Rattus norvegicus: one gene and its partners. The protein of the gene in region 2 interacts with the protein of the main gene of each other region in a pairwise test. Links are inferred from orthologs where the notes say so. Each region holds a gene or a part of one and is shown on either strand. Other genes may lie near its edges.

What was found.
Region 1: the proteins of Ndel1 (region 2) and Mllt10 interact in a two-hybrid assay, tested with the Homo sapiens proteins (2 studies listed by BioGRID and IntAct). The link is inferred for Rattus norvegicus from reciprocal best matches to the Homo sapiens genes NDEL1 and MLLT10.
Region 3: the proteins of Ndel1 (region 2) and Ccser2 interact in binary tests that used the Homo sapiens proteins (3 or more experiments, as listed by UniProt). The link is inferred for Rattus norvegicus from reciprocal best matches to the Homo sapiens genes NDEL1 and CCSER2.

The regions. Positions count from the first base shown.
Region 1 is NC_086035.1:85,845,792-85,855,824, reverse strand, and holds part of Mllt10 (protein AF-10), read right to left. Parts: intron 9,396-10,033; coding exon 9,241-9,395; intron 8,867-9,240; coding exon of another isoform or gene 8,856-8,866; exon of another isoform or gene 8,775-8,855; intron 7,090-8,774; coding exon 6,901-7,089; intron 6,540-6,900; coding exon 6,451-6,539; intron 6,313-6,450; coding exon 5,948-6,312; intron 5,307-5,947; coding exon 5,210-5,306; intron 1,776-5,209; coding exon 1,578-1,775; intron 1-1,577. UniProt on the Homo sapiens protein: Probably involved in transcriptional regulation. In vitro or as fusion protein with KMT2A/MLL1 has transactivation activity. Binds to cruciform DNA.
Region 2 is NC_086028.1:54,038,978-54,049,010, forward strand, and holds part of Ndel1 (nuclear distribution protein nudE-like 1), read right to left. Parts: intron 9,987-10,033; coding exon 9,838-9,986; intron 8,853-9,837; coding exon 8,716-8,852; intron 4,704-8,715; coding exon 4,530-4,703; intron 1,756-4,529; coding exon 1,664-1,755; intron 1-1,663. UniProt on the Homo sapiens protein: Required for organization of the cellular microtubule array and microtubule anchoring at the centrosome. May regulate microtubule organization at least in part by targeting the microtubule severing protein KATNA1 to the centrosome.
Region 3 is NC_086034.1:12,740,187-12,750,319, reverse strand, and holds the start of Ccser2 (protein FAM190B), read left to right. Parts: upstream 1-4,316; 5' UTR 4,317-4,532; intron 4,533-10,133. UniProt on the Homo sapiens protein: Microtubule-binding protein which might play a role in microtubule bundling.

The DNA of each region.
Region 1 (10,033 bases), on a different chromosome or scaffold from region 2:
CATGTTCCCTGAGCTTGGACCTCTCTTAGCTCTTGCCTATTGTAAGTGAGGTTCCACCGACCATGTTAAGAACTGAAATCACATTATGACGTTGTACTCCTCAGATCTTGGTACCCAAGCAGGGATGCCTTAACTTCCCTCTCAACCCAGCTTCCTGCTGGTTTTGTTTGAGACTGGGTCTCAGCAAGGTGTGGTAGCACCTGTCTTTTAATCCAACATGAGGGACCAGAGACAGACCGGTCCTATGAGTTCAAGGCCAGCCTGGTCTACACAGTGAGCTCCCGGACATCCAGGACTGTACAGAGATCCTGTCTTGAGGGAGCAGGGATGGAGGTTGGGGGGTGGGATGGAGGAGAGGGGAAGGGGAGGGAAGACAGAGGGGTATATGGAAAAAGAGGCGGAGGGCTATGGAGCCTCTCTATATGGCTCAAGCCTCCATCGTTAGCCACCCAAGAGCTGAGGCACGTACTGCACCCCATGAGGCTTCACTGTGGTTCCTCCATTAACAATCTAGTTTTAATGTGGAAAATATCCGTGAGCAAAAGCACGATACACTGTATCAAATGTCCACATAAACGCAGACTCACTGACAGGGAAAGGGGCAATGCCCATGGTGATGGCGCTCACACTCAGGAAGCAGGCGCACTCGGCAGTTAGCCCAGACTTTGAGCCAGTGTACATTACTAAGTGAAGGTTAAAGTAAAACGAGAGAAACCAAAGCAAGGGACATGCAACGGCCGTCAGTCCTCGGGTCCTGCCTGTCTCTCCGCTCCTAGCACCAGGTCTCCATGCTCTACTCTGCGGCACCTTCCGAAAACGTGAGCCACGTGCAGGCTGTTCCTGTAGCCACACCTAACTTTACCTTGACCCCCTTAAGGGTGAGATGCTATGACTTACAAATTATCAAGTCAGTAACCTTAAATTTTAAAATTGTAGCTGCAATTAGGTTTTGGGAGCACTTATATTGTGTGTGTGTGTGTGTGTGTGTGTACAGGTGCCTACAGAAAGTGGGAATGGGCTTCCTGGAGCTGGGGGCAGTGGGGTGCTAGACACCGAATTCAGGTGCTTTGGATGCTCTGTTAGCGCTGGGCCTCTCTCCAGCACAGCAATCGACTTTCTCAAGGCAAGTGGTACAACATTAGGAATCCTGCCCTAATTGTGTATTTACCATATCAGAAATATAACTCCATTTTAAAAGTAAGTTGGAACAAGGTAATAAAACATATAGAATTAAATGGAGAAAAATTCTATAACTAGTCAAATTAAAGTCTTTTTAAAGAAAAATGATCTGTTTTGAATTAATAATCTGTCTCATACGTCTTGCTAACAAATCATTTTAGAAAATGCTATATTATAAATGGCCTTAGAACCTTATATGCAAATTCGGATCAATATACTTAAGGGACACTCTCCTTGCAATATATCCAGCTGCTAAAACAACTGATCCTCACGAGGAAAACTCATAGGAACACCCGCCCTGGCTCCCTGGGAACCCTGCCTCCAAGGTCATACATACATACATACATACATACATACATACATACATACATACATACAACATACAACAACATACTTACTGTGACTTTCTGGCTTGTGCTGTCCCCGTGGATGGTGAGGAAGGGGTTGGTGGTCGCCGTGTGGAGTGGGGGCGCCGGAGGGCCTGCCAGGAGGTTGTTGATGGGGATCTGCGTGGGCCCTGGGAGCTGCATCTGCTGAAGCTCGGGGGGATGGTGCTGCTGCTGCATCAGCTGGTACAGGAAGGCCTGGTGCTGCTCCTTCAGCAATGAGACACAAGAGCAGCCTCAGCCAGGGAGTCAGCAAGCCTGCCTCCCCCATCTCTCCTCTACAGTGTTATTTGAACCAGTCGCATTACAACAGGAGCCGAGTGTGGCGGCTCAGGCCTTCAGTGCCAGCATCTGGCAGGCAGAGGCAGGTTTATCTCTCTGAATTCCCAGAACAGCTCGGTCTGCATAGTGTCATGCCGGCCACGACTCTCTGAAGTCTGTTTAAAAGCAAACAAAACAAACACCAGCCTCTCGGGAAAGCAACTGCACTGGGTAATAACCCAGCACCACTTGGGAACTGACCATTTTTTGATTGACCGATGAGTTGATTTTTGTTTTTCAGGACAGGGTTTTCTCTGTGTAGCCCAGGCTGTCCTGGAACTCTGAGACCAGCCTGCCTCTGCCTCTGCCTCTGACTCTGCTGGGATTAAAGGTGTGAGCCACTGCTGCCACCCGGCTGAACTGCCCATTTCCAAGACAAGTGGGCAAACACAGGAGAAGTGCACTCAGATGAGGCTGCCCGTGAGGAACAGAGAACAGGAACAGCAGCAGGTGGGTGCTGTGCTGCTTGGCCCTGTTACCACACAAACAGGCCATCTGAGGGAGGCCTCAGTTGAGAAAACGCCTCAGTCAGACTGGCCTATGGGCGAGCTTGCTGGGCTCTGTCTCAACTCATGAGTGACGCAGGAGAGTGTGGGCCACAGTGGACAGCACCAGCCCTAGGAGCAAGGCAGGTCACCAATGGTTCTGCTTCAGTTCCCGCCAAGGTTCCTGCTGTTCTGTCCCTAGATGGTGGAGTAGCCTAGAAGCCAAAATTAACATTTGCCCAGGTGCTTTGGTCAGTGTTTTGTCACAGCAACAAAGAAACAAACTGAAACAGGGTAAGTCACATTATAAAAAGCTACTCTAGAGGTCCTCACAGGGACCAAGCCCTGGCATAATTCTTTTCCACGGTTTCTTTCTTTCTTTTTTTTTTTTTTTTTCCTTTTTTCCCCCCGGAGCTGGGGTCTGAACCCAGGGCCTTGTGCTTGCTCGGCAAGCGCTCTACCACTGAGCCAAATCCCCAACCCTTTTCCACGGTTTCTAAAGTTGCCAACAACTCCTAACAGAAGGTATTTTCTTCCCACAGTTTAGCTCTTCCTTCCTCAGCATCAATTCCATTCAGGAGTCCCAGGGTGCTGACCACTGCAGTCCATGAGTGTCGTAGTCAGAGCTGCTGTCCCAAATCAGGAGTGAACAAAGCCTGCAGGGGATTAGCATCACCCCGTACACTGAGGAAGCAGGAGGGCAGTTCTTGAGCCTCAGTGAGACATTGTACAGGACACCCTAGACTCCTGAGAGCCCCGCCAGACTGGCAGTCAGAAAGGATGTGAGGTCAGGAATGCTTTTGAGAGGGGGGGGGGGGGGGGATTTAAGAGTTGGCTGGGGAAAGGGACAGATTATCATCTCAGTATTATATCCTTGTATGACCTGACACTCAGGTATAGAGGGCCTGCCTCGGTCTCCTGAACCAGCATTCAGGGATTAAAGGTGTGTGCCACCAGTTAAATGAGGTTTCTTCATGAAGTCACAGTAGTATTTCCAAAAAAGAAAAGAAAGAAAAACAAAAAGGACTGTACAGGTCTGACTTAGGTTGGAGCTGGGAAAGGCTGGCTGGGGTAAGGAAGAAGCGTGGTAGCCCAGTCTAGGCTGAGTTTACAATGCCCAATGCCCTCAGGGTGTGCCGTGGGGCTACACAATAAGCAGGTGGGCCCATGGCATGCAGCTCTGAAGACAGCTTACGGAGATCAAGCACAGCTGTAGGGGCTGTGACATCATCAAAGTTGAGTGAAGAAAGATCAGCTGTCAGATGTGACTGCTGGGTCAGGAAGGTGTAGCCCACGAACTCAGAAGTCTATATTGCCTTCAGCGGTGGGCAAGTAAGAGCTGAGTGTCTGGCTTTGGAGACGTCTATACAATCAGTCCGGCCTGCACCTCCTGATCTCTGGCCTTTACTTCCCACATGTGAGGACTGCTTGGGGGGTGGGGGGGTTTGCTACTGTAGCAGGACTTTTGCTACTTTGTGGGTTATTTCTTCCACTCTTCTCCACCCCTCTAACCAGGAGAGAAAAAGGATAGAGGGAAATGGGTGGCGTGACCCTTGGACTACTTCCTGCTGACTGGGGGCGCCAGCCGGGTTCCTTATGGCAAGTTGGAGCCTCACCACCAACTTAACAGTGACCAATAGCAACCAACCAATGACCTGCCCCATGTATGTACCCTCCGAGGAGTTCCCAGAACTCCGAATGTCACAGCACTACACAAACTATCTGCACCTCACGAAATCATGCCCCTGATCAAGCACGGAGCAAATCACAGTCAGCTGCTGTGGGCAAACTGAAGCAGCCCATAACCTACCCGTGATTAAGATCAAACTGTACTGTCAGACTCTGTCATTTGTCAAACTGTACTGTCGGACTATCTGTCATTTGTTAGAGACCAGAGCTACAGCTGTTTTTGCTGACACATGTCTGAAATGCACTGTGAGGAGGCGGAGGTTGGAGGGCGGTGAGCTCAAGCAGCCGAAGCCACACCAATGCCACATCATCTCCAAAACAGGCAGCGTCTGTCCGTCTTTCACCTGGGTATCCTCCCACAGTCGAAAATTATTGTTAGAATACAAAGGATAGAATATACATTACACAGTGTAGTTTAGGAAACTGTAGCAAATAGAATATACAAGATCCGTGCAGATGACGTGTTTAATCGTTCTGATTTACAGTAAAGAGTTGGCAGGTGGGCTCACTGTATGTGATAATGGGTTACTACTTCTCAGGAAACTCTGCCGTCTATTCCTCCGTATCTCCGTAAAGTCAGTAGCCAACTGTTTAGGGTTCCTTTTCTTGCTTTGATCAAAATGCACTACAGCTGTACAGTATCGTACCAGGGCCGGCTCTGCATTAGTGACTCCCGTGTCCATCGCTGAACCCACCTTCTCCCTCCTGACACAAAATGATTCCACACAGGAACCAATGTCTCTACGCCTCAGGCATTTTCATGTCACGTCTGTGCAACATTCTTCAATGGGTTCTTTAAGAAAGTCACATGTGAGGTCCTGGTTCTACTCCCAATACCACCAAAGAAAGAAGTGAAATGGCCCTCACCCTCACCTAACATCTGTCGTCCCTTAGACCATATAATGCCTGCCCCCATCCTTGGAAGGTACCATGATGCAAGTGTGTGCGCTCTCTACCTCTCCTCTCAGAATGAACGGCTCGCACTCCAATCCCCAGAGCCTAGTTAACATTTGTAAAACAATCAACCCGCAAACAGGAGGGCACAGGTAGGCCAAAGGGCTCGACAACTTCTAAGATCCACATCCACAGAGGAGGAGCCCATTCCAGTCACAACAGCAGACACTGACAAAAAGAACACAGTCCACTTACCGGCGTGAGCTGCTGGGAGTTCAAGAGCTGCTGGAACTGCTGCTGCTGGAGGAACATCTGTCGCTGCTGGTCCGACAGCAGCCCCAGGCCCGAGGCACTGAAAAACCAGCACAGCCGTGATGTCTCCTGTGCCCCCTCAGGGAGGGCAGCACGACGGCAGCCTCCTCACCAGGAACTAGCAAACTGCCTGAACTACAGTACTTCATTATGTTCAAATCATTCCCTCTCCTTATATACGCAGACTTGACTGTCAGCGACAGAAACTCAGTCAACAAGTTAGGTTAAACAAACATAAGAATTCATCAGTCCATCATGTCATCGAAATCTATGTTAGAGAAGTATCAAAACTGCTGTTAAAATGTACATGTGACTGCCACAAAAAAAAAAAAAAAAAAAACCAACTTTTTAAAATTTAGTATAATTTTATGTAATAAGGAGAAGCAACATTTTAAGATATATATTCCAGATCAGGACAATATATTCAATTCAACACAATATATTTAATATGATACTGAAATTAATCTTTAATTGAATTACATCATTTTAAAAAACAAGCCTAACATTCATTAAGTAGCTAGCACTTAATTTTTCCTAGAGAACATCTGCAAAATACATTTAAGAAGCCTAACCCAAAATAAGGACAACACTGATAACATGTTGCATGAAAAACAAAAACAAGAAGGAGGAGGAGGAGGAGGAGGCGGCAATGACAACAGCATACCGAGCTCAGTGTCTTACCTGTTAGTCAGGGCGGCGGCTGGCATGGGATGTGCTGCATTAGGTGGCACACTGGTGTGGGTGAGCGGGGCAGGGTTCTGGGATATTGTGACCGGCGTCTGAATAACACCATTTAACGCTCCTACAATGCCATTGATTGCCAGCTGGTTACCTGGCAAAGCTCCAATTATTCCACCCACTGCAGACACAGCAGGAATGGTGGATGTGACAGTCTGCATTCCACTAGCTAGTGGCCCCACTGTCACGCCGTTCACCTGCTGAACCCCACTAACTCCAGAGCCCTGCTGGGCTGGACTCTGCCCAGCAGGCGGGGGAGTGGAAAGAGCAGAAGAGCTGCTGGTGCTTTGCCCACTGGAAGTCAGGTCCTACGGGAAAGAGAATAAAACCCAAGTTGAAAAGAACACAGCAAGAGTGTTTAAACATAATTTTAAATCACTAGATGTAATGTGCAATGTTCCCAAGTACAACACACAAATGAACATAACCACACGCAAAAAATTCACCTGATTTAATACAGGAAGAGAATTGTCGGGTACAAAGCTGTTTCCTATATGCGGGCTCTTACTGCTGTTCAGAGAGTCAGTAGTAGGAGCTAGAAACAGGAAAAGATAGAAACAGGGACCCTGTTAGTTGCATCATGTGTGGGATTAAGAGGATGCTGAAGCCCACAGCTCTGTTACTCCTAACACTTACTTAAATGGGGGTGGGGGAGAAGGTGGTGTCTTTGTACTGAATGTTGTAGCTTTATTTCAGTAATGAAATCTTGCATCTAAAGGATTTTATCATTAAACTATCCATTGAAGTAAAAGAAAACTCAAGGGACTTGTTAGGCTGTCTCTGCCCCTTAGAAGTAGCTGCTTCTTCACGGAAATGGTGGCCAGGTACTGTTCTCTGTGTACATGACAGTAAGAGTCCATCCATGGTCCTTAGAAACAAAGTATTCTTGTACTCACCAGTCTGTGCTGTGTATGTGTGTATCTGATGAGATGGACTAGGGTTTGTCGTTATTGCTGGGAAAGGCACTGAAAGCTGTGCGTTCAACAACTGAAGACGTTCTTTTTTGGCAGTCAAGTTTTTAATCTGTTCTTCTAATCTTCGATTTTCAACTTGAAGTTGATGTAATGACTTTAACATTCCTAAAACTGGCAAATATTTGTGTGATTTTAAAGTAAAGACAACTCCACTCCCACGACTAAGTACTTTATGGTCATAGTGTGAACTGCTTCAGACCTAAACATGTGGAAATCGTGTGGGCTAATCCTGGCATGACTGAGCCTTGTTCCAAGGTCTGACTGTAGCTACAAACATCATGTTCTATTGAGTGTGTACACAAGGAAGACTGTACACAGATCCACCACACGGAAGCTTTGCTGCATATACCTGTGTAAGCATGTGTGTCTGACAAACAGCAACCCACCCCCATCACGTAGTTTCTATCCTCAAAAAAGAGGTTTCCTCAAAATAAAAATTAAAATTTCAAGGTACTTTTCATAATTTTTATTAAAAAAATAATGATGACAATAGCTGAGACTTACAATAGGAAAATTACCACCAATATGCTTTACTCAAATAAGGACGTGCTTTCTTAGGTGTTTAAACATGCAGGCGCTGGGAGAGGCAGTCTGTGGGGAGCGAGCATGCAGCTGGCATGCACAGGGCCTGGGCAGACTCCTCAGGAGCCCAAGCAGTCGCAGCCACAGCCGCCAATGCTGCCACACACCTGGCAGAAAGCCGGCCAGTGCCAGCTGCTCACCATGTCTCTCTGCAGGCTCCCAGCAGGGAGCGCTGTCTCTGCAGCCCTTAACTTCTCTCTGGAGGACGAGGCCTCCTCATCTGTTAACAAGCTTTGGGCCCTGCCTGACCATTTAGATACTGTGTTAATTCTTCCAAGGCTTGGACTTTAACTGCCAATCAAGAGCACTGTTGTAATGGTGATGGACATCTGAAAAACTCCAGGTATGAAAAAGTCGTATTTGCTTAACATGAGCTCAGGGCCTTTCAAGGACCCTCTAGCATTACAAGATTTAAGTTTTATCCCCTTAAGGTGCCCAGATGAGAAACGATAATACAGCTAGCCTGCCCTCTGCCCACATCTTTGCTCTGTTTAAAAGGTTCTGCCCACATCAGTTTCCTTACAGTCAACAGTTTTGGGGCACCATACATAAAGGATCAATTCAAGGCACTTATTAGCTCACTAGCATATTTTTTAAAGCCTAGTTTTTAAAAAACAAAAACAAAAAAACAACAACAACAAAAAAAATAAAGCACTGAAATTTTCCATACCAAAATGATAAAAGCCACCTAACTCTTCTCCCTAAGCTGCTCCAACTGTGTTTTTATGGCATCATGTTACCACACCCCACCCCACCCCGTTGGTAGTAATACTATGTATATATACAAAACATACCATATAATCTCATAAGTATGATTAACATTCTAATTAAATAAAAATTTACTAATTACTATTCCTTTTGCAAGAACAGGGTCTAAAAAGTAGCCCTGGCTCTTCTGGAATTCATTACGTAGACCCAGGCTAGCCTCAAACTCACAAGAGATCAGTCTGCCTCTGCCTTCCAAGCGCTGGGATTAAAGATGTGTGCCACCTGCTTTCTACCTGGTAAGTGGCATTATTAATCAAAAATGGGTGTCACTATGTCTGCCTAGTTATTATTCCTTCAAATTCTAAAACCTGATACCTAGCTACAGCTGACTAGAGACATTTTCTTTTTAAAAGAAGATATCTGTGCATAGGAATCTTTGTTTAAATCCAGAGCTGAGGGGAGAGACCAAGTGTTCTCACAAGTGGTCAAGAACAAAGTCTAGTGGGCAGAGGGACAGCCGCAGCCATTTATTTCAACCAGCAACCAAATAACACAGCAAGTTTTGTCAGTGTTCATGTCATTTATCTTCATACCAACCCTAGGAAAAAGGTACAGTTTCACTCTTCTTGAGTTCACAAGACACTGCACACTACACACACACACACACACACACACACACACACACACCCTGCAGCGATAGCTTTGACCAAGCGTGACACACACCTTCTCTAACTACATATAATACGTAACACAGTGTCATTATTCTGGGCAAACACTTTCTGCTGCTGTGTTTCATTTATTGGTTTGTATTTTTCGGGGAAGTTTCTCTGTGCAGATCCAGCTACCCTGGAACGTGATTTGTAGATCAGCCCGACCGAGACCCCAGAGACCCGCCTCCCTCTGCCTCCCGAGCGTGCGCCACCACCGCCCGCTTCCAAGTGCCCGTCTTAGACGCAAGCAGTGGCTACTTACTGTCACTCGGAGTGCCCTGCTCTAATAAAAACTGCTGCCCTTCGCTCCATTGCCTCTCCAAGAGCTGCTCAATACTCACTGCCACTGGAGGCAGGCTTTCCAAACCACTGCTGCTTGGCTGATCATATCGAATCTGCAAGTTGCTCACAGGGGATCTGTCAAAAACATTCATTCTCAAGTTAAAAAGAAGGGAGTGGTCTAAGTGGCTGCACACCCAGCCCCTACGTCCTTCTAAGAGCCATTGCCTGTACACGTTTCCTAGCACCAAGTGGCCTATGGCAGAGGTATCAATAAGATTGCTAGAGTCACTATCATTCTTCCTCACTAAATTATAAAATAGCTGAACACAGTAAATAATTAAAACCACTAGAGAACAATCGACCACTGTGCGCTGTCTTTATAGAGCACAGGGAACCCGACATCAGGAGAGCTTTAAAGCAGACAGCAGACAGGAGAAAGGGCCAAGAGTGGACTACGGGGCTCAGCCTCACTGCTCCTGCAGAGGGCCCTGCTGTAGACCCAGAACCCACATGATGGCTCACAACTGTCTGTAGCTCAAAGTCCTGGGGATCTGATGCCCTCCTTCTGGCTTCCTACGGTGCACATACATGACGCACATGTAGGCAAAGTGCGTTAATAAAATTAAATAAAACTCTACTGCTAGGTCTCAATGTGCAGGCTATCAGTACAATACTACAAGTAACACTATCGAGGGCATCTGAATCTTAAGGTCCAATAAAAAGAAAAATTTAATGATTTTCAATTAAAAATAAAAATCCGTTTCAGTTCTATC
Region 2 (10,033 bases):
CAGGCATGAAGGGGCCCAGCACTTTGGAGGCAGAAGCAGACAGATTTCTCTGAGTTAGAAGGCAGCTGGTCTACCTAGCAAATACCATGTCCATCAAAGCTACACAGTGAGACCCTGTCTCTAAAAAAGAAAAAAGAATAACTAGGTATGCTAGATAATCCCAAGCACTAAGCAGGCAGAGACAGAAGCAGCATGAGTTCTAGGCCAGCCTGGGCCAGTGTGAACTATGTTCACAGTAGATAGTGACTCAACAAAAAGAACAAATGGAGTTGAAAGGAGAAAGGGAAGAGGTCAGGCTTACGAGTGGTACAGCTCCGTGGCAGAGTATTAGCTTAACATTCAAGAGGTTACAGGGACCAGCAAGATGGTGCAGTGGAAAATCCTTAGCAGATCAAAGTGCTTGCCTCACAAGCCTGACAACCTGAGTTTGATCCCTAGGACTCATATTTTAACAAACAAACCAAAGACCTGGAGCTAGATGATGGCTCAGTGGTTAAGAGAGTGTACTGCTCTCCCAGGGGACCTGAGTTCAGTTCCCAGAACCCTTAATCAGGTGGCTGTTAAGTCCAGTTTTAGGAGATCTGATTCCCCTGGTCTCACAGGACACATGCATTCTCATAATATACACATTCAGACACACATATACACATAATTAAATAATAAAAATTCTTAAATCAAAAAGCCAATGTAGTATTTAGTAGCCCAGTAGGGGTTTGCATGTGTGCATAAACTTGCAAGTATGCGTCTCACTCACTCACACATACATACACGCACACAACGCATGCACACATGTAATTTTTAAAAACTTTATTTTAAAAGGAAAAAGACAGAAAGAAAAGCCAGAATTGGAGAGCTGGCTCAGGTTAGAGCACTTGCTGCTCTTACAGACAACTGGGGTTTGATTCCCAACAGCCACACAGCACCTCACAACCATCTGTTAACTCCAGTCCCAGGGTATCTAAACACTCTCTCTGACCTCAGCAGACATCATACACGTACACGTACACGCGCACGCACACACGCACACACACACTCACACACACACACACACACACACACAGTGCACAGACACATCCAACTCATACATATTTTTATAAAATTATAAAAATACATAAATGTTAAAAATTGATAAAGAAACAACCAGTGTCATATTTCAAAAGTCAAGTTGCTAAAAACAAGCTTAGGGCCAAGAATGAGGCCCAGAAGTTGAGGTGTCCTGAGAGCAAGAAAGCCCCAGATAAAGACTGGCTGGCAATGCCCCCAGCCACATACTATCCCACAAAATACAAGACAAAGAAAAAAAACATGGGTTTGGGGATTTAGCTCAGTGGTAGAGCGCTTGCCTAGCAAGAGCAAGGCCCTAGCAAGGCCCTGGGTTCGGTCCCCAGCTCCAAAAAAAAAAAAAAAAACCCAGGAAGATAAGAGGCAGGGGCAAGGAACAGAACTAGACAGGAGAGCAATGTCAAGAGTTACATAGGTAACCTCAGAGCCCAGGCTCTTCCAGAAATGCCTTTTGCCCAGGGCTGGGGTCTTCTCAGGTCTAGTCCTTGCTCATCAGTGCCTGCGGTGCTTCTCAGCTTCATAAGGTTCTCACCACAAGAAAGAGACAGCCCAATACTACCTCCACAGTGGAAACCCTAGTGATAAATAATTGAATGCTTACCCCTACTTTCCGCAAGAGATCTCCCACGATGTTTAGTGCTGATATCCTAGCAGAAGGAGTTAGTGGACTGGTTCCAAAGCCATTTGGTATAGCTACAGAAAGAGAAAAGCAGAGTAATGCCATCAGCAGCCCCCTTTATATTTGGGTTATATTGGATGATGTTACAAAGTCAAACACATTTGAAGCAATATCATACTGTTTCAAGGTACAAAGTATAAAGAGAAAAGACTCTTAATGATCAGACTACATCAGTGTGCCACGTCTCCAAACTGCTGCCAGGACAAAGATACTGAAACATCAACAGGAATTGCTGGAGACCCTGAGAACAGAACTCTGAGGGCAGAGGGCTGTCCACTGTTACCCTAACAGATGCTACAAGGATGTTTCCTTATGAGTATCGTGCCACACATGAACACACAGAGACTGTGGCAGCACGCACAGTGCCTGCACAAGTCCAAGCCAGCCAGAAAGCCAGCTAAGATGGGAAGTGCATGAGAATCCCTAACCAAGGAGCCATTGCCAATTAACTGACAACAATCCACAGAGGCAAATTAGTTTCTCCAAGGGCATCTGACAGGGTCGACCATACTCACAGGCAGGCTCTATGCCCAGTAGCAGAGGACCAACACAACCAACTCAAAGGTATTCTTAGACCTTTTTTTGGTCTCCTACTGTTTTGGTTCAGCATTTTTTACCTTTCTGATCTTCTGCCTGTACATTACATTCTCAGTTCTGTGTTTTATGGGCTGGGTGTGTCTGCATATGTATGTGTTTCTCATGTTCTGTTTTTCCTGTTAGTTCATCAGCTTTGTTTTACTCTTGTTTGTTTGAACTTCCCTGTTTTCCTAAGACAAAGAAAGGTAATAGTAAAAGGTATAAGAAGGTATAGTGTTGGAAGGGTGAAGAGGAAGGAAGGGTCTGGGAAGGGATGAGGGAGGGAAAACAGGATCAGAATGTTGTATAAAAAAATTACTTGCAATTGAAAAAAATAAAAGAATACGCCAAACTGGGTACAGTTATAGGCAGGGAATCTTTGTGAGGTTGAGGCCAGCCTTGTGTGTGTTGGGGGGGCGGGGGGGGGGGGGGGGAGACAGAGACAGAGTACCAGGGTAGACAGGACTACAAAGTGAAACCATATCTCAAGAGAAAAAAAAAAAAAAGGAAAAGCAAGGCAAGACAAAGAGAAGAGAAATACTGTGCAGGGGCTGGAGAGATGGCTCAGTGGTTAAGAGCACTGACTAGATGAGTACACCTACAATGTACTCACATATATGAAACAAATAAATCTAAAAAACCACACACATATAAAAGAAATACTGTGCCAAGCCAGTAATCAGCATGATAATATTCTCAATAATGAAATGTGACTGATAAAGGAAATTGAATCCCTTTCATTCATTTAAATTAATATAAAGTTTAACAGTCACTTGTGGCTACTTGAGCAGCACAAATACAGGAAATGCTGTCCTAATTGCCCAGAGAACCTCCTCTCACTCTAGAGAATAAAATGTATTTTAAGAAGGGCAAGAGGAGACAGCGTCTGTTGAGGGTGAAAAAAGGGCGAGTGGAGGAAGCTGGGATACGAACTGCAGACTACCTAAACAAGCTGGAACTGGAAAGCTCTGGGATTGCACTGCAAGGCTCTAAGACTGGTTACAGACTGCTTTACCTCTTATGTGCACATAACAAACACTGACTGACAACAGGTGAATCTTACCAGTTCCCCTGAATGTTACCTTAGTGCGTAGTTCAAGACCTATCCAACAGAATGTTCTGAGCCAACCATATAGCAATCCAAATAGTAACTTAAAGATTCTCTTCATATCTGTATCCTGTTTTTCTATGACATACTAAATGGCAAAAGCGAGAAATAATTATTTAGGTAGGATCAAAAAACTTAACATGAGAGACTGGGTGTGATGGCACATGCCTGTAATCCCAGAACATGGGAGGGAGAGGCGCAAAGATCAGGAATTAATTCAAAGGTCATCTTCAGGACAGCCTAGGCTTGATGAGACTACACCTCAAAACTAAACACCAGGGGCTGGGGATTTAGCTCAGTGGTAGAGCGCTTACCTAGGAAGCGCAAGGCCCTGGGTTCGGTCCCCAGCTCCGAAAAAAAGAACCAAAAAAAAAAAAAAACAAAAACAAAAAAAAAACTAAACACCAATCTATGGTAGCAAAGAAATGTGTAAGGAATAACTCAAAGAAAAATCCTCTGTAAAACTTGATCTTCTTGTACTTTCAAATTCTCTACATGGAACTGAAATTATAGCTCAGTGTCAGTGCCTTAGCCAAGCACATACAGAGCTCTGGGTTCAATCCCCAGGCCCAAAACAGACAAATTAGACAGACAGAGAAATCTGCACGAACATATATCACAATAACCAAAATAAGCTTTTAAAACTTTTAACTTTTTAACTTGCGGGGCATGGTGGCACTCCATAACCCCAGCACTCAGGAGGTGGAGGCACGGAATCTCTTGAGTTAGAAGCCGGCCTGGTCTACAGAGTGAGTTCCAGGAGCCAGAACTACTCAGAGAGAGACCCTGTCTTGGAAAACATAGAAATAAGTAACTTTTTCGGAGCTGGGGACCGAACCCAGGGCCTTGCGCTTCCTAGGCAAGCGCTCTACCACTGAGCTAAATCCCCAACCCAAATAAGTAACTTTTAACTTTAAGAATTTTACTTAAGCTGCTCTTGTGTTGAGTGCAGACTTCATCTCACAGTGACCTAGAAAAACAATTCTACCTTTGTTTCCTGGATACTAAAGTAACTTGTTCATCATTTAACTGTAGCAGCTTCCCTACATCAGCAAATGCATTTCAAACCCATCATCTAACATGGCTGAAAGAGAAAATACAAACCTTTTGGTGAAGGAAAACTGTTTTCTGTGCCTTTCCCCACAGGCGTTGCAGGCAAGGAGAGCGAAGCCTGGACGGCAGAATCCATCTTCTCACAGTCCAGAGTTGGAGAGCTGGGAGCAGACTTTCGGGTCACTTCCTGTTGCCGTTCCCGAACTGCTAGCTCTTGCCTTAAATCTGCAAAATGTTGCAAACAAAAGCAGGAATCCTCATTAGAGAGAGCAACTATATCCTGGCTCAAGTCCCAACCAAAACACTGTAAGACATTCCTCCTAAGTTACAGTTTCTCAAAACAAGCTTCTATTCTAAAAATGTTTATCTCTGGAAAAAAATGTGAACTTCCCTAGAATTTAAAAATGTGGGATAGTGAGATGGCTTAGTAGCTTAAGGCATTTGTTACCAAGCCTGACAGCCTGAGCTCCATCCCCAAGACAGACATGGTAGACTGAGAAACAAACCCTACGAGATATCCTCTGACTTCCACATCTGTACAGTGGCACGCACACACGCATACACACAGTAAACATAATTTTTAAAAAAATAATTTTAAACTGCTATAACCTCTCAGAGAACAATATTATGCCCAAAGGCAGAAAGAAATTGAGCAGTGAGAGCTGGAGACGGCTTTTCCGCTAGACAAGTTCAGTTCCTAATCCATGTCAGACAGATGCCTCTAACTCTAGCTTCAGGGGATCTAACACCCTCTTCTGGCCTCTGCAGACACCTGCACATAAGTGGCATGCACATACACACATAAAATAATGTCTTTAAATAAAAAAAAAAAAAAAGGGCTGGAGAGATGGCTCAGTGGTTAAAAGCACTGATTGCTCTTCTAGAGGTCCTGAGTTCAAATCCCAGCAACCACATGGTAGCTCACAACCATCTGTAAATGGGATCCAATGCCCTCTTCTGGTGTGTCTGAAGAGAGCTAAAGTGTACTCATATACAATAAATAAATAAATCTTTAAAAAAAAAAAAAGAGGACACAAAGTAGAACTCATAGTGAAACTAAATAACACAAAATATTCCTAAACAACTTCTCATGTGTATATATATATATATATATATGTATATGAGATATATATGTATATATATATGTGTGTGTGTGTGTGTATTGCATATGTCACAGATTACTACGAAAAACCAATGAAGATTTTAAGTTTTATATTTTTTTTAATTATTATTTTGTTTAAACAAAGTCTCACTATGTAGTTCTGGTAGGCCTGGAGTTCTCTATGTAGATGAGGCTGGCCTCAAACTTACAAAGATCCAATTGTCTTTGCTTTCAGAGTACCTGGATTAAAGGCATGCACTACTACACCTCAGATTTTTTTTAAACTACCACTATGAAATCCTTTTTCAATACTGAATTTTTAATGTTTTAAATTATATAATGACCCTGAAAAATATCTTATGTTAAAAGAAAAAGGATAAAAAGAAGCAGATCTCTGAGAAATTTAAAGCCAGCCTTGTCTACATAGAGAGTCCCAGGACAACCAGGGCTATGCAAAAAGATTCTATTTCAGGAAAAGAAAAACAGGCCAGGCAGCGGTGGTTCATGTCTTTAATTAAGACCAGCACTTGGGAGACAGATGCAAACGGACCTCTGTGAGTTTGGGGCCAGCCTGAGCTACAGAAGAAGTTCCAAGACAGCCAGGGCTACACAGAAAAACTGTCTTGAAAAAACAAAAAAGAAAAAAAGAAAAAGGAAAAACAAAACAAAGGATACGAAGTTACTCTACTTTTGAGATCAAAAACGTCAAAACAGGATTACAGACTGACACATGCAACCTATATCCACAACAGCCTTGTTCACAGGAACTAAAGACGCAAGCCGCCCAATGCCCATTCACAGAGGAGAAGAAATGATGGAGTGGAGTTCTTAATCCATTTTCTGTAAGAAGGGGGAATGAACAAATTCTCAAAAGCTGTACTTTGAACTCCACACTCATGCAGGCAGGCACAGACATCACTCACACACACACACACACACACACACACACACACATTTAAAAAATTTTGTAAACAAAAAAAAAATCCAGTCACAACAACATAAACAAACCTTGAAGACACTAAAGTTAAATCAACCAGTCACATAAACAATAATAAATATTTTAAAACCATCTCGGTATGGTGGCACAGTTTTAATTTTTAATTCCAGCACTTGAGAGGTTAGAGGCAGGGAGATCTCTGATTTGGAGGCCAGTATGATCTACATAGTGAGATCTAGGCCAGCCAGGGCTATACAGTTGAGACCTAGTCTCAAAAAACAGGATAGACAAGAGATTAAATTTGTAATGTTTTGTTTTGTTTTGGGGTTCTTTTGCTGTTGTTGTTGTTGTTTTGTTTTGTTTTGTTTTTACTGCAATTAAAATAAGTAAGATGCTGGGGGAAAAACTCAGGGATAGAGCACTTGCCTAGCAGGCACTAAGTCCCACCACCTCAAAACAAATGATGAGACGAACAAAAAACAAGACTGGGGATGGAGCCCAGAGGTGTGGTGCTTGCCTGTCATATACAAGGCCCTGTGTTCACTCCTACTACTGTGAAACAAGACCTATAAATAAACAATACCAAGATAATAACTTATATATTACAAAAATTAAAACAATTCTTCAGGGGCTAGAGAGGTAGCTCAGCACATAAAAAGCACTCACTGCTCTTCCAAAGGACTAGGGGTTTGGTTCCCAGCACCCATGTGCTAGCTCACAATTATCTCTAACTCCAGTTGCAGGGATCTGATGCCCTCTTCTAGCTCCTGAGAGCACCAAGCATTCAAACAGTACACAAGCATGCAGCCAAAACACTCTTTACACATAAAACAAACCTTTTAAAACCTATAACTTAAAAAGAACTGTTCAGGGGTTGGGGATTTAGCTCAGTGGTAGAGCGCTTGCCTAGCAAGTGGAAGGCCCTGGGTTCGGTCCCCAGCTCCGAAAAAAAGAAAAAAAGAAAAAAAGAAAAAATAAATAAATAAAAAGAACTGTTCAGATGATTACAGCGCCCTCATGAAAAAGAAAATAAAAGGCACTGAAAATCTATAGAGAGAGATGACATAGTTGAACACACCTTCTGTAGAACTTCCCTCTCTTCTCAGCACAATGAGACTCAGAGTATTATAGCGGAAACAAGAGAAGGGACAGTAAATGCTCCCTGCTGCTGAGCCATCACCTCTCCAGACCCAAACCTGCTCTAAAAAATTTGTGATGCCAAGGTTACAGAGGTGACTCAGAGGTTAAGAGCACTGACTGCTCTTCCAGAGGTTCTGAGTTCAATTCCCAGCAACCACATGGTGGCTCACAACCATCTATGATGAGGTCTGGTGCCCTCTTCTGGCCTGCAGGCACACAAACAGGCAGAATGCTGTATACAAAATAAATTTATAAAAAAAAATTGTGATGCCATGTATATTCCCCATATTAAGCAGAAAAAAAAAAAAGAGAAATATATGTGTCTATTTTCATCTGGAAAGAAGGAGGAAATTATGTAAGAAGTCAGAAATTATATAAGGGAAAATATACAGACATATACAACCATAAAAAATGAACTAAATATATCAAATTACTAGTGGGCTTTCCTTCTTTATAATATTCTCAATTGGGGTTGGGGATTTAGCTCAGTGGTAGAGCACTTGCCTAGCAAGCGCAAGGCCCTGGGTTCGGTCCCCAGCTCCGGAAAAAAATAAAATAAAATAATATTCTCAATTGTACTGTGTTTCTGAGGAGAAAGAAGTTTTAAACAAAGTGTGTACTAGTTACACGTATAATATGTAAACAGATTGATATATGTATATATAAAATGATATGTATATAAAATGAAGTTATTTAAATACAATCAATAAATAAAAAAATCCCAACTGAGTGCAGTATGACACTGAAAAAGCTCAAACTCTGTGCCTCCTTTTTCTCATCTATAATATGGAGGTCACAGCTACTTCTTAGTGCTGATGATATGGGTATGAAATAAATTGCCAGGTTAAACGCACTTTGGCACAGTGACTGAAAGAAATTTAAAGGCATATAAAACTAGAACTTCAGAGAAACTGAAGGCTGGAAACAGCTTGGAAGCAGAGTGCTTACCCAGCATGCTCAAGACCCTGTGATCCTAGCACCATCAAAAGGCTTAGTCCTTGACTTACTCAGGGACCAGGCAATGGATAAATACTTGCCAAGTTATAAAGCTTACTTACCTCTTGCTTCATCCTTTAACCTCTGTACTGAGACCAACAAAGATTCCTTTTCATCAAGTTCACTTTCTAAAAATGCATTTCGTTCAATGGCCTGATTTAGCCTTTGTTCAAAGTCTTCCAGTGAAACTATTGTTGCCCTTTAAAACAAAATTATTTGAAGCCCATGAATTAAACAGCATGTACAAACAGCTAGTACAAAAGAAAATCAGTTTATCTCCTGCCATTCTTAACCAAGTCAACCTGACCCAATTTGGAGAATGATCTCACTCCATTCAGCAAAAATTAACACATACTTACTCTTGTAGCCTCCCATTCCCTGGTTATCTGCTACAGAAATAAAATTCTCCAACCTAAAGTTACAACTCAGAATACCAATTCCAACCTTTTTTTTTTCCTATGGGGACACTGTAGCTATCTTTATACACACCAGAAGAGGGCACAGGATCCCATTACAGATGTTTGTGAGCCACTCTGTAGTTGCTGGGAATTGAATTCAAACCTCTGGAAAAGCAGTCAGCACTTCTTGATGAGGTTTCTCAAGCCCTAAAACAGTCTCTTAATAAAATACTTCCTGGGGTTGGGGATTTAGCTCAGCGGTACAGCGCTTGCCTATCGAGCACAAGGCCCTGGGTTCAGTTCCCGGCTCTGAAAAAAAAGAAAAAAAAAAAAAACCTTCCTGCTCTGAAGCCTCTTCACTGTCTCTCTGCCTAGTTAACTTTTCTTCTTTGCAGACTGGGCCCCAACTTGTAAAAAGGCTTTCTCAGGGCTGGGGATTTAGCTCAGTGGTTGGTAGAGCGCTTACCTAGGAAGCGCAAGGCCCTGGGTTCCGTCCCCAGCTCCGAAAAAAAGAAAAGAAAAAAGAAAAAAAAGAAAAAGAAAAAGTAACAGACACTCTGGAGGCAGAAACAGGCAGATCTCTGAGTTCGAGATCCACCTAACTCAGTCTCCCATGTACTGGGATTCAAGGTGAGTACTACCAAGCCTGGCCTATTGTTTTGTTCCATTTCCTTTAAATCCACTGAGTCACAAAGGACGTAAGACGCTGAAGGAGAAATGGGTTGCTGATGGGTGAAAACTTAGCTGACAACTGGCTATGCTCATAGAGTGCACAGCACCCCTTACCGTTTTGCTCGCTCCAGGTCATCATTGGCCTGCTCCAGCTCTCTCACATACTTATGCAGTTGCTCCTTAATGGCCCGGGTCTGACTTAAATCATCTTCTAACACTGAGACCTGCTTATAGCTCTGTGCATACTGATGCTCTAGTTTCTCCTGAAAGAAAAGGTGCAGAGAAGGATGTGTGATTAATACGTAATCAT
Region 3 (10,133 bases), on a different chromosome or scaffold from region 2:
GAAGACAGATGGTAGTTAATAGTGCATGTATTTAACACCACTGAGATATACAATAAAAAATAGCACAGAAAGTAAAACAGCTTGTCACATATCAAGTTCATGGTCATGTTGACTGAGTTTCTCTTCTCCAGGGAGAAACAACAGGAGTGTGAACCCACCCTGAGAGCTTTTTCCATTTAGAAATCAGACTCTTCTGTGCCTTTGTGAAGGGTTACATGAATCAGGGACAGGAGATTTAGAGGAATAATGTGGGTGGCTTCTAGAATGAGGCAGTCACTTTAAAACAACAGGGCATGACACCGTTGGGAAATAATGGAGAAAATTGAAAACAAGGCTTTTATAATCAATGTTATTAATTTTTGTATGTTGGTAACATCCATCTTCAAAAACAATCATAGTGTAGGCAAAATAAAATGTACCTGTTGCCTGCTATGATACCCCTCATCATCTTTCTGGACCATAGCCAGTCAATCTTAAAGGACACACATACACACACACACACACACACACACACACACACACACACACACACACACACACTCCTCTGCTCCCTTTTATCATCTTCCTGGCTGAGAAACAGGGTTTCTACAACATCAATGAAAACCCTGATCTTGAATACAGGGCCCTTTAAAGCTGGACATGCTTATTAATATTGTAGGGGTCTAGACGTCATCCATGTGTCCCTTAGGCAGAGATCTTGACCAAGAAAGATAGACTTCTGTGTCTGCGGGGTAGGGTCTAGACATCATCCATGTGCCCCTAAGGCAAAGATCTTGACCAAGGAACACAGTCTTCTGTGTCTATGGGGTAGGGTCTAGATGCCATCCATGTGTCTCTAAGGCAAAGATCTTGACCGAGAAAGACAGTCTTCTGTGTCCATGGGGCTAAAAGTTCCTATCATGTTGCTTTAAAGGGAAAACTTCTGGAGATTTCAGTAAATCAACCCCAGTGACTTCTCATCTTGTTCATGACCTAACCCCATACATCTGAGACAGTACTTGGCATGCAGCGGGGGTTCAGTACACACTGGGGGAGAAGGATTATTTCTTTAGACCCTTTAATGTTGTATTTAGGATCGCCCCCAGAACCAATTCTTCCTGGAGTCTTACTGACTGTTTCCCAGTGCTGTTTGCCTTGGAACCATAAAAATCTCTCTGCAAAGCTCTCTCTTTGGAGGAGGGCTTTCTTTCATAGCATGAGTGAGTACGTGAGTTCAGACCTTAGCGTCAGAAGCAAAGAGGAACTAGGTTACAAGCGGAACCAATGCAGCTAACTAACCAACCCTAAAATACAGATCATTATGTATCATTCAACCGAGTCCAACACAGCCCAGGGGTCTTTAAAAGGAAAGACAGAGAACACAGTTGTGTCTCTCCTTTCACCACAGAATTTCTGGGGTGAAGCTCAGGCCTGAGGACAAGTGAGGTTACCTACAGAGTGGACCTAACCATTATTGTTCATTTCAGTTTTTAACGAGTAGTTCCAAGTGGCAATCCTGCAAGATAACTGGGTTTTCTACCTCTGTGCTCTGACACAACTCTGTACACTGAGAAAATAAACCCACAAAGGGGATTGGTCGACGTATGCGCATTCCTATCATAGCAATTCGTACCATCTGCCTCTGCCTTTTCATCGTCAGTCTTCCTCCTCAGGTCATGGGCTGGGGTCACACTCTGGCTTTCTCAGCTGTTCTTTACTGATCAAAGGTTGGCACACTCGTGATATGTTTTTCACATGACACGTGATACTTAGACCTTTAGACCTTTGTATCTTGACAACCCTTCAGGCGTTGATGGAGAGTTTTCCCCACCAGGTCCCGTTGGCTGTTGGGAGAGGTATTCTACTCATGTGGTTCTCCAGGTTTGATCCTGAGAGCAGTATTTCAGTTCTCTGGGAATTTGTCTGAAATGTAAATTCCTGTGCCCCACCCTAGGCCTACCGAATTCAGAAATTCTAGGGCCAGCAATCTGTGTTATACTGAACCCTCCTCCTAGATTCTGAGCCATACTAAACATTGGGAGTCAAATATTTAGCTTGGTCTGCTTTCGTACCCTTAGCCTCCAGCATGCACAGCTCTTCCAGTGTCAGACTTTTAAAATATAACCTAATCATTTTCTATACAAAATTCTAAAATGGTGTCTAAATATATATTTTTAGGTTTGCCTATTCAGCATACCAACAAATGGCGAACATCGTTTATGTTTCCTTTGCAACTCAGCTTTCATGAACATCTAACAATCTTGTGATAGAGCCTCTGGCCAATTTCAAGTCCATAACTACAACTGCCCCTTTGTCTAACTTCCACAAACCAAGCCAGTATTCTCTCTGATCTAAATAACCCACCGTCATTTATCAAACAACTCGAGAGGTATCCATGCTTTAGAATCCTCTGACATTACCTACGCTAGCCATTCTCAAGACATCCCTGCGTCTTTACCTTCCTATTCCACATACATTCCAATAATAGCTTTGGTCTGGATTTTTCCCTTTACTCCCAGACACACCCAGTGCCACTCCATATGCCCCTACATGACATGGCATCCCATCTTTCAGGAAATGTAAGCCATGAAAATAATCTTTCAGAACACTGACTTCACCATGTCATCTCAGTCGTCCTGTAAATTAAAACCCTGGGGGCATACATTGAAAGAAGTGCCTAATAGAAATAGAAGCACGGTGACAACCAAGGAAGTGAGAAAATTGGGACAAAGACAAAAACGGGAACACAGAAAATGAGATGAAGCCTGTAAAAATTCATATGTAGCAAGCATTCTGTGAGGATCCTACCTTTGTGGAAGAAAGGGAAGTGATGACCTACCACGTCAAACAGCCAAAGAAAATACATGCTTACCTCAAATATTCCGGGAGTCACAAGACAACAGCCAAGTGGTTCAGAAAAGCAAAGCTCATCTTGGTTTGGGGAACTGAAAGATCATCCTCCCCCCTCCCAGAGTCTTTATAAAGCGGATTGGACCTGTTGCATCTTGCGTAGCTCCCAAGGACAATCTGTGAAGAGCCCCTTTTTCCCCATCTCTCAACTGATCTTTGATTGTAGCATAAAGTTCAAAGCATAGCATAAATTCATGAGTGTTGTGCTGGAGCCTGTATTTCAGAGGTCTGAGGCTTTGCTCTCCTAATGATTTACTTAATCTACAAAGAAATGTACTACATGTAACCCTAGTCTTTTCCAACATTTTATCACCCACAAAATTAAGTCTCCCTATCATTATTCTATTGGCCAATTAAAGAGACAAGTAATAATGGAACGTATAAAAAAGAGAGCTATTCAATATGGCCACATAGGGAATTGGAGGAAGAAAAGGGGTCCAGTTACCACCAAGTCCGCCTTCAGGAGTACTGACAAGAAGTTTAAGTTTAAATAGAGAGCTAGAAATAGTGGTAAATTGAATACTCCGCTAGGTTACGGTGCGGTATTGCTGACCTAGCGTTGTTTCAGCTCACTCAAGGCTATCTCGCGAAGTGATCTGAGACCTCAGAGCTGCAATTCCTGAGAGGCAAGCTCCTTCTCCGGACGGCGCTAGGCCTTCGGTATTGTTTTCATTTCTCCAGGATGAATTATCTATTTTCTTAAATTATTTGGAGTATAATGTTCCAACAGTCTGATGGACTAAGGGAGGGGCACAAGTGTCTCCTCCCCTATCACAGCGTAATTATGTTAGTGGTCTGGAGGAGAGGTGGTGCCTTTCCAAGTTCTCTTTCAATGTTATTAATTTCATTTGAGCTGTTGGGGCTAGTGAGGGGAACAGGCAGTCTAGGGTCAGATAAATAATCACTTTCAACGCTTATAATAGATAGCCAGATACTGCAGGCTTGCACGGTAACTCTCAATGACTTGGAGAGATGATTTATGGAATGGGATTGAGATCCACACCCTCATAAGATAGCTCCTTTTCTCAGCTCTCAGCGTTTTATCGCAATCTCTGCTCAGATTCAGTATGCCTGGCTGAGGCATAGCCACAGACAGGCCAAAACAAAGTCATGGTTGCTTCAGATCACTCCTAGTAGTCTGGAGCAGGAGCTGACAGGTTTGGTCGTGGTCAAGCAGCACATTTGAATCCAGAGGGCCATTTTGAGTTGGTCGGCCAAGAGACTGGAGTGAAAGGTTCATACCAGAAAAGACCTGAGTCAGGGGGCAAAGATGCAAGGTCAGTGGATCAGGGCGGAGCCTGGGAACGGCTGGCGCGAGGGTGGGGCGGGCCCGGAGGCGGGCCTAGCCCAGTGAGACTCGCGCCTGCGCAAGGACTGTCCGGGAGGCGGGGCGACGCACGCGTAGTGCGCGGGCCCTGGAGGGCGGAGTCCAGGAGGTGCCGGCCAAGGGAGGGGGCGCGGCGACGGTGAAGTCCGGCGCTCCCGCAGGCCGTGGAGGCGATGCTGGCTGCTGCGGAGCAGGCAGCTGGGCGGACGGGGATGTGACGGGACTGTCCTTCGCCTCTCTCCTACCCTCGGGCCGGCAGGTCGCTGGGCGACCCGCAGCCGGGCCGCGGCCGAGGAGGCAGCGCGACCTCCGCACGGTGAGAGTCGGGGGTCAGGGCCGGGGTCTCGGGACGCTGGAGGCTACCTGGCTCCCGGGCGCAGCGCGGGCGGAACGAGGGCCGGGTGTCCTTGGGCGTCGGTGCTCTGGGACGACCCTCGGAGCCCCCGCCCCCTCTCCCGAGCCTCCTGCGGTGCAGCGGGCAGGCCGGATGCCCCTGCTCGGTGGTGCTGAGACGGGAAGGGACCGCGGGACACCCGGGCTGCAGCCTTCCTGCACCGGGAAATCAGGGCGAGGCTTAGATGCCCTGGGATTTCAAAGCCTAGATGCTCGCGTTGGTAAGGGGAAGTACCTGAGAGCCCTGAATGAGTGGGATTTTTTTTTTTTTTGAAATCACTGAGTCAAAACAAAGACACGCCCTAAAACACATGAGAACTTTGGATTACACCGTATCTGTAGGTTCAGATGCTTTTTCCCCCTCCTCTCCCTCTTTTGACATCTATTTTTATACAGTTTTAAAATGTACCTACTTTCTTGACAAAGTAAAGGGAGGGGGTAATCCATTTGGGGTGGTCGTTGGTGATAAAGCCTGATTTTGAATTTCAATAATTGCAAATTCATCTTTGCTGACTACCTAGCCAATTAGGTTTGCTGATCATAAAGTAGGCCTTAGCAATGGAAATTCCTAGTGCACAGATTCTTTGCTGTCCAAGATTGGAGTGTCCTATTTCGCTTAAGGAGAAACCAGGTGTGGAGGCTTCACGCCTTTATCCTGGCATCCAGGAAGCAGAGGCAGGTGGATTTCTGTGAGCTCCAGGCTAGCCTAGCCCATAGAGCAAACTCCAGAATAGCAAAAACTACTTAGACCTTGTCTCAAAAGAAAACCCAGAGGGTTGGGGAGGGCGGTTATGAATGAGAATGAACATTTCCTTTTTTTCCCAGAGTAGCTGTTTGATAAAGCATTTTGTTTTTTTATCGAGAACATTAAGTATTAATGGAATATATGTATTTAGACAGTTGATCAGCGTATCATCATTTAGATTTAAAAAACTTTAAACAAATTGAATGAGGAGGATAAGTATAAAGTAGGTATTATAATGTATAATCTATAATTGGTAAGGATGTAAACATTAATAAGTGGTTTGCATGGGTGAAGTCAGTCTTCTTTCCAGACTTTATTAATGTTTGTCTCTCTTAATTTGTTAGAGCGCATCGCCCTTCTCTTATATGGTGGTTTTCTTCCTTGTTCTCAACAACACTGGCCTCAATCTCTAGGTTAAAAACACTTAGAACCCTTAACCTGTAATTTGTCCTGTTTAATATGCCATAACAAGAAAGCTAGGAGCTGTCCTGGGACCAGGAACTTTTTTTATTTACCTTCCCTCAGGTAGATTTTTTTTTTTTGCTGGTTGCCAGATTGCTTTTACTATGTGGGGGAAGAAGAGACTTTTAATTTCATGGTTCCAATTCCATTCCTTCAGTCTTTCCCAGTTTCTGGTGTCTGTCTGCATTCTCAATTCATCTACTGTTACACAGGTCCTCTCTCTGGGACTGTTTGCAGTTTACTGAAGATGGCATCTTCCTTTGTTTCCTGGCTCCAGAATGGCCTTCCTAGTAAACACCTTGCATTCCCACTAGAGTGATAGAGCTTGACGTCTGGGCATCTCATCTCTTGTTTTCACTGATCCAGTAGCACCATGCCAGGCTGCACTGAGTACTTCATCAATTGGGAGTTAATGATTTGCTTATATATTGTCTCCCTCAGGCTTTCGAGTGTCTTTTTAAGTTTACTGCTACAGCACATACTGCTCAAATCTGTTTACTCAGTGCATTCTGAGGAGAGGGTCCAGGCTCGAATGCAGATTTAGGGTGAGCTAAATATGTTTGGACTGTCTTTCAGTACCAGAAAGTTGAGGGGAAAAAAAAATCAGTATTTTAAAAAAAATGATTTTTAGAAAAATTTTACGTATTTGGTGTTTTGCCCGCTTTTCTGTCTGCGTGTGGGTGCCAGAGCTCCGGGAACTGGAGTTACAGACGGTTGGAAGATGACATATGGCTGCTGGGAATTGAACTGGGGTACTTTGAAAGAGCCGCCAATGCTATTAACTGCGGAGCCATCTCTCCAGCCCCAACATTACTGCTTGTATTTGCTTAAGGATGAAGTAAAAACGGGTACTGGTTAGGAATGACATCCTCGTTATGATGGGGAAAAAGTCAGTCTACTTGAAGATGGAGGAATGAAGACCATGGCAAGTAAGGGTCGGTCTAGAACTTTATTTTGAGGTGCAGGGGTTTGCCCACAGTTATGGCTAGAAAGGGACAGATCTGGGAACATAGATGTCCTTTGGCCATCCTTCTAGTTCACTCTTACTCCCCTCTATCCTAATTCTAATTACATTTTTTAACCCAGGCTAGCCCAGAACTCACTGGGTTGTTCAGCTTAGGCTGAGCTCAGATCTCTGCAGCCCCTCCTCATCCCCCAGGCTTCGCAGTGTTAGGTTTACAGAAATGAGGCATCAGTGCCTGGCTTCTAATTTCTAATAAAGGGATCACCGTCTTGGTGCGATATGAGAGAAATGGATATTTATTATAAAAGGGCTGTATTGGATATTAGGTTGGAAAGACTTAGCAGATTATTTGGTTCACTGATGAAATAACTTTGAACAACTAAAGCATGGACAAGCAAGCAGCTTGCCTCTGTCTCCACGAACCTCTGTGTCACAGCTTCTGACCTCGTGTTTGCTTGCTCCTCACTGTTCTGGACCGCAGTCCTTGTGCTTTCCTCCTCCCTAGCTGCCACTCCTAGGGACGGACCGAAAGCCCTTGAGTGGCTGGGAAACATGATACCTCGTTTGGGAAAATGGGAGAAACCTTTACCACTCCGCTGGCCTGGAGCTTGCTTATACTTTGGTGTTGCAAGCCTCTGGTTACCATATGGAGACCCTGCACCGTTCCTTCTGTAAAGTGAGATTTTGGTATAACTGGGTTACAGATGGTTAATAGCATGTCTAGAATTACACGTATGGTTTGCCTGTTGTGAGAAGAGCTGCTCTGATTACTCCTGTGATAGCGTTTTAAGGACAAAAGTTGATAACTGTAGATTTATGTATCTAGCACATCAGTTTTCAACTATGGGCTTAGCACAGTAGGCCCCACTAGTTCCAAAAGACATTTTGTTATACAAGAAATAAAACCAAAATAAACTATTCCTTGTTCCTTGTCAATTTAAAATAATTTTATACCACCGATTGGTGCGTAAATGTAACCTTTAATCTGGGTTTTAATATTTGATGGGTTTTCTTTTCACTAGTTTTTATACCATTGGGTTACTTATACTGTCTTACAGAAAATAGTACTTATTTCTAGGTGGACACGGGAGTTGCTTTTGAGTAGTGCAGTTAGTATATTTAGGGGTCTCGGATGGCCTTACTAAAATGCCACTCCCTGTCCTGTCAGGATTCTGCAGTTCGCATATGACCACGTAGTCATCTTTTTTTCCCTGAAGGCTAACGGCCGTTGGGAGGAATGACAGCATCAGAGAGTAAAAGCTTTATCAGTTTCAAAAGCTGTTGCTGGATGTACTGTAGGAAGAGCTGCTCTTCTTCCAGCAGAAGTTTGGTCATTACTTTTACTGCCTTTTGTTCCCAGTGCTTTCTGTCTCCCGGAAAAGGCACTTGCAGGGTTTATCACAGTTTTATTCTCTCCTCCCTGTGAATGGGTTGTCGTTTACCCAAAGCCCCTGAAATATTTTTACTAACTTTATTAGCATTAGCACTTCAGGTATTATCTTTGTTACTTTTTATATTTATGGATTGAGACAGAGTTTCCTGAAACCTTGTCTGACTGTGAATCCTGTTCCTTCCTACTGGACCTTCTATGAATCACAGGCCTGACTTACTTTTTAGTACCAAACACTTGGTAGCTTTTTAAAATTTTACTAGAATACTTGACTTTTAAATCCTTGGTAAATTTGTCTTTTAATTGTGAGGTCTGAGTATGATGGCACCCCACCGTTGGAGCATCCACCCTCTTTAGCTTCTAGAGCCATCGTCCAGCAGGGGTTGCAGGCGTGAGCCATGTTTCTGGTTGGTGCTTGCTTTTGAAAGATAAATCCTATTACTTTGAATATCTAGCAGGGTGGTTCTCAGGCTTTTCAGTCTTAGGACCCCCATTGCACTTTTAAATATTCTTGAATACCTTGACAGGCTTTTGCTGATATGATTTATAATTTTTGATATTTATCAAGGTATACATTTACTTTTGAATGCTTAAAGTAACACTAAATTGATAATGCATTAAAATTGTGGTACATTTTAGACAAACCAAAGAGTTCCTGAATGTAGTGTATTTGTTCAAGTTGTTGTTTGTTCAGGGTTGACCAGAAGGTCATTTCTGATTTAACTTGAATTGTTAACCTTTTAAAAAGCTATGAAACAAAGCCTTGTTATCTGCTCTCTTTTTGGGAAGTGATGTATTCTAGACAGATAAGATAGCCAAGAACAATAGTTATCAGATATGCTACATTGATATTTGACATGCCTTTGTTTCTAATTGCTACCACCTAGAAAGTAGGCTTTTTGTAGTCATTTTATGGATGAGATGTAAAGGGATCTGCTGAAGTAGGTGTCTGTAGCAAGCCATGGTATAGATAGTCTGCCTTCACTTTAAAGGCATATTATCTTATTGCCGTGCTAAAGATTGGACGATTTCTATGCATTTGAAAGATATGTATTTAGAACCAAGCCAACAGTTTGTGATAGTTGAGAGTTTTCTTCTGTTTACCTTTTTGTGTAGTTTAGTAGCTTAGTTTGAATATGGTTGGAGGGTCATCTTTGAAGATTGTTGGTTTTAAGAATACTGTATGGTATCTCTTGGGGAGATGGCTGATGTAACAATGTAGAAATATATTAAACTGTGTTTCTCATAGGAGGTAATAGAAATAGATCATATGAAATTAAGTCTGGACTCTGAGTTGGAAATGGGGATTGAACATAGCTCTTGAAAGATAAAAGACTGAGTAACCCTTTGTAAGAGGATGAGAATGTGGACTGGCAATTTGGAAAGAACTGAGATTGAAGAATATATATATATATTTTCTTATTTTTCTATTGCTCTGTGATAATATTGTACCTAATTTTGTGGCACATCTAATCCCTATCTATTTGTGTGCTTGTCAATAATAGGGCTGAGTACGAAGTATGAGTGAGTACTGGATAACGTGACACTGTAAGAAGGCAAGGGACTTCTGGGAAATAAGAAATCACCTAGTTCAAAGGAGTGACCAAGAAGGAAAGCCCTGGGATATGATACTTATAGGTTTGAGGGATCTCTTAAGTGAGAGAGCCCGAGGACGTATGTACGATCACACTCTGCACTTGGAACACCACTCCAGGTTCTAGTTAGTTCTGGCTGATGTGTCCTCAGGTGACAGTTTCTGTTGTGCTGATAACCCTCCCACCCCTATATTTTCTCAACATTCTGTAGCTTCCTGTCTCTTTTGGTTTGTAACTTCTGATTGCTAGGTTGCCGACACTAGGGTGTCACGCAGCCTACTAAGAAACCAGCCAGTCAGAATGTTCCTTTCTTTATGAGTAAATTGCTGGTCAGAAAATATTATCTGTAGTTTTTGAGTTTAGCGCTT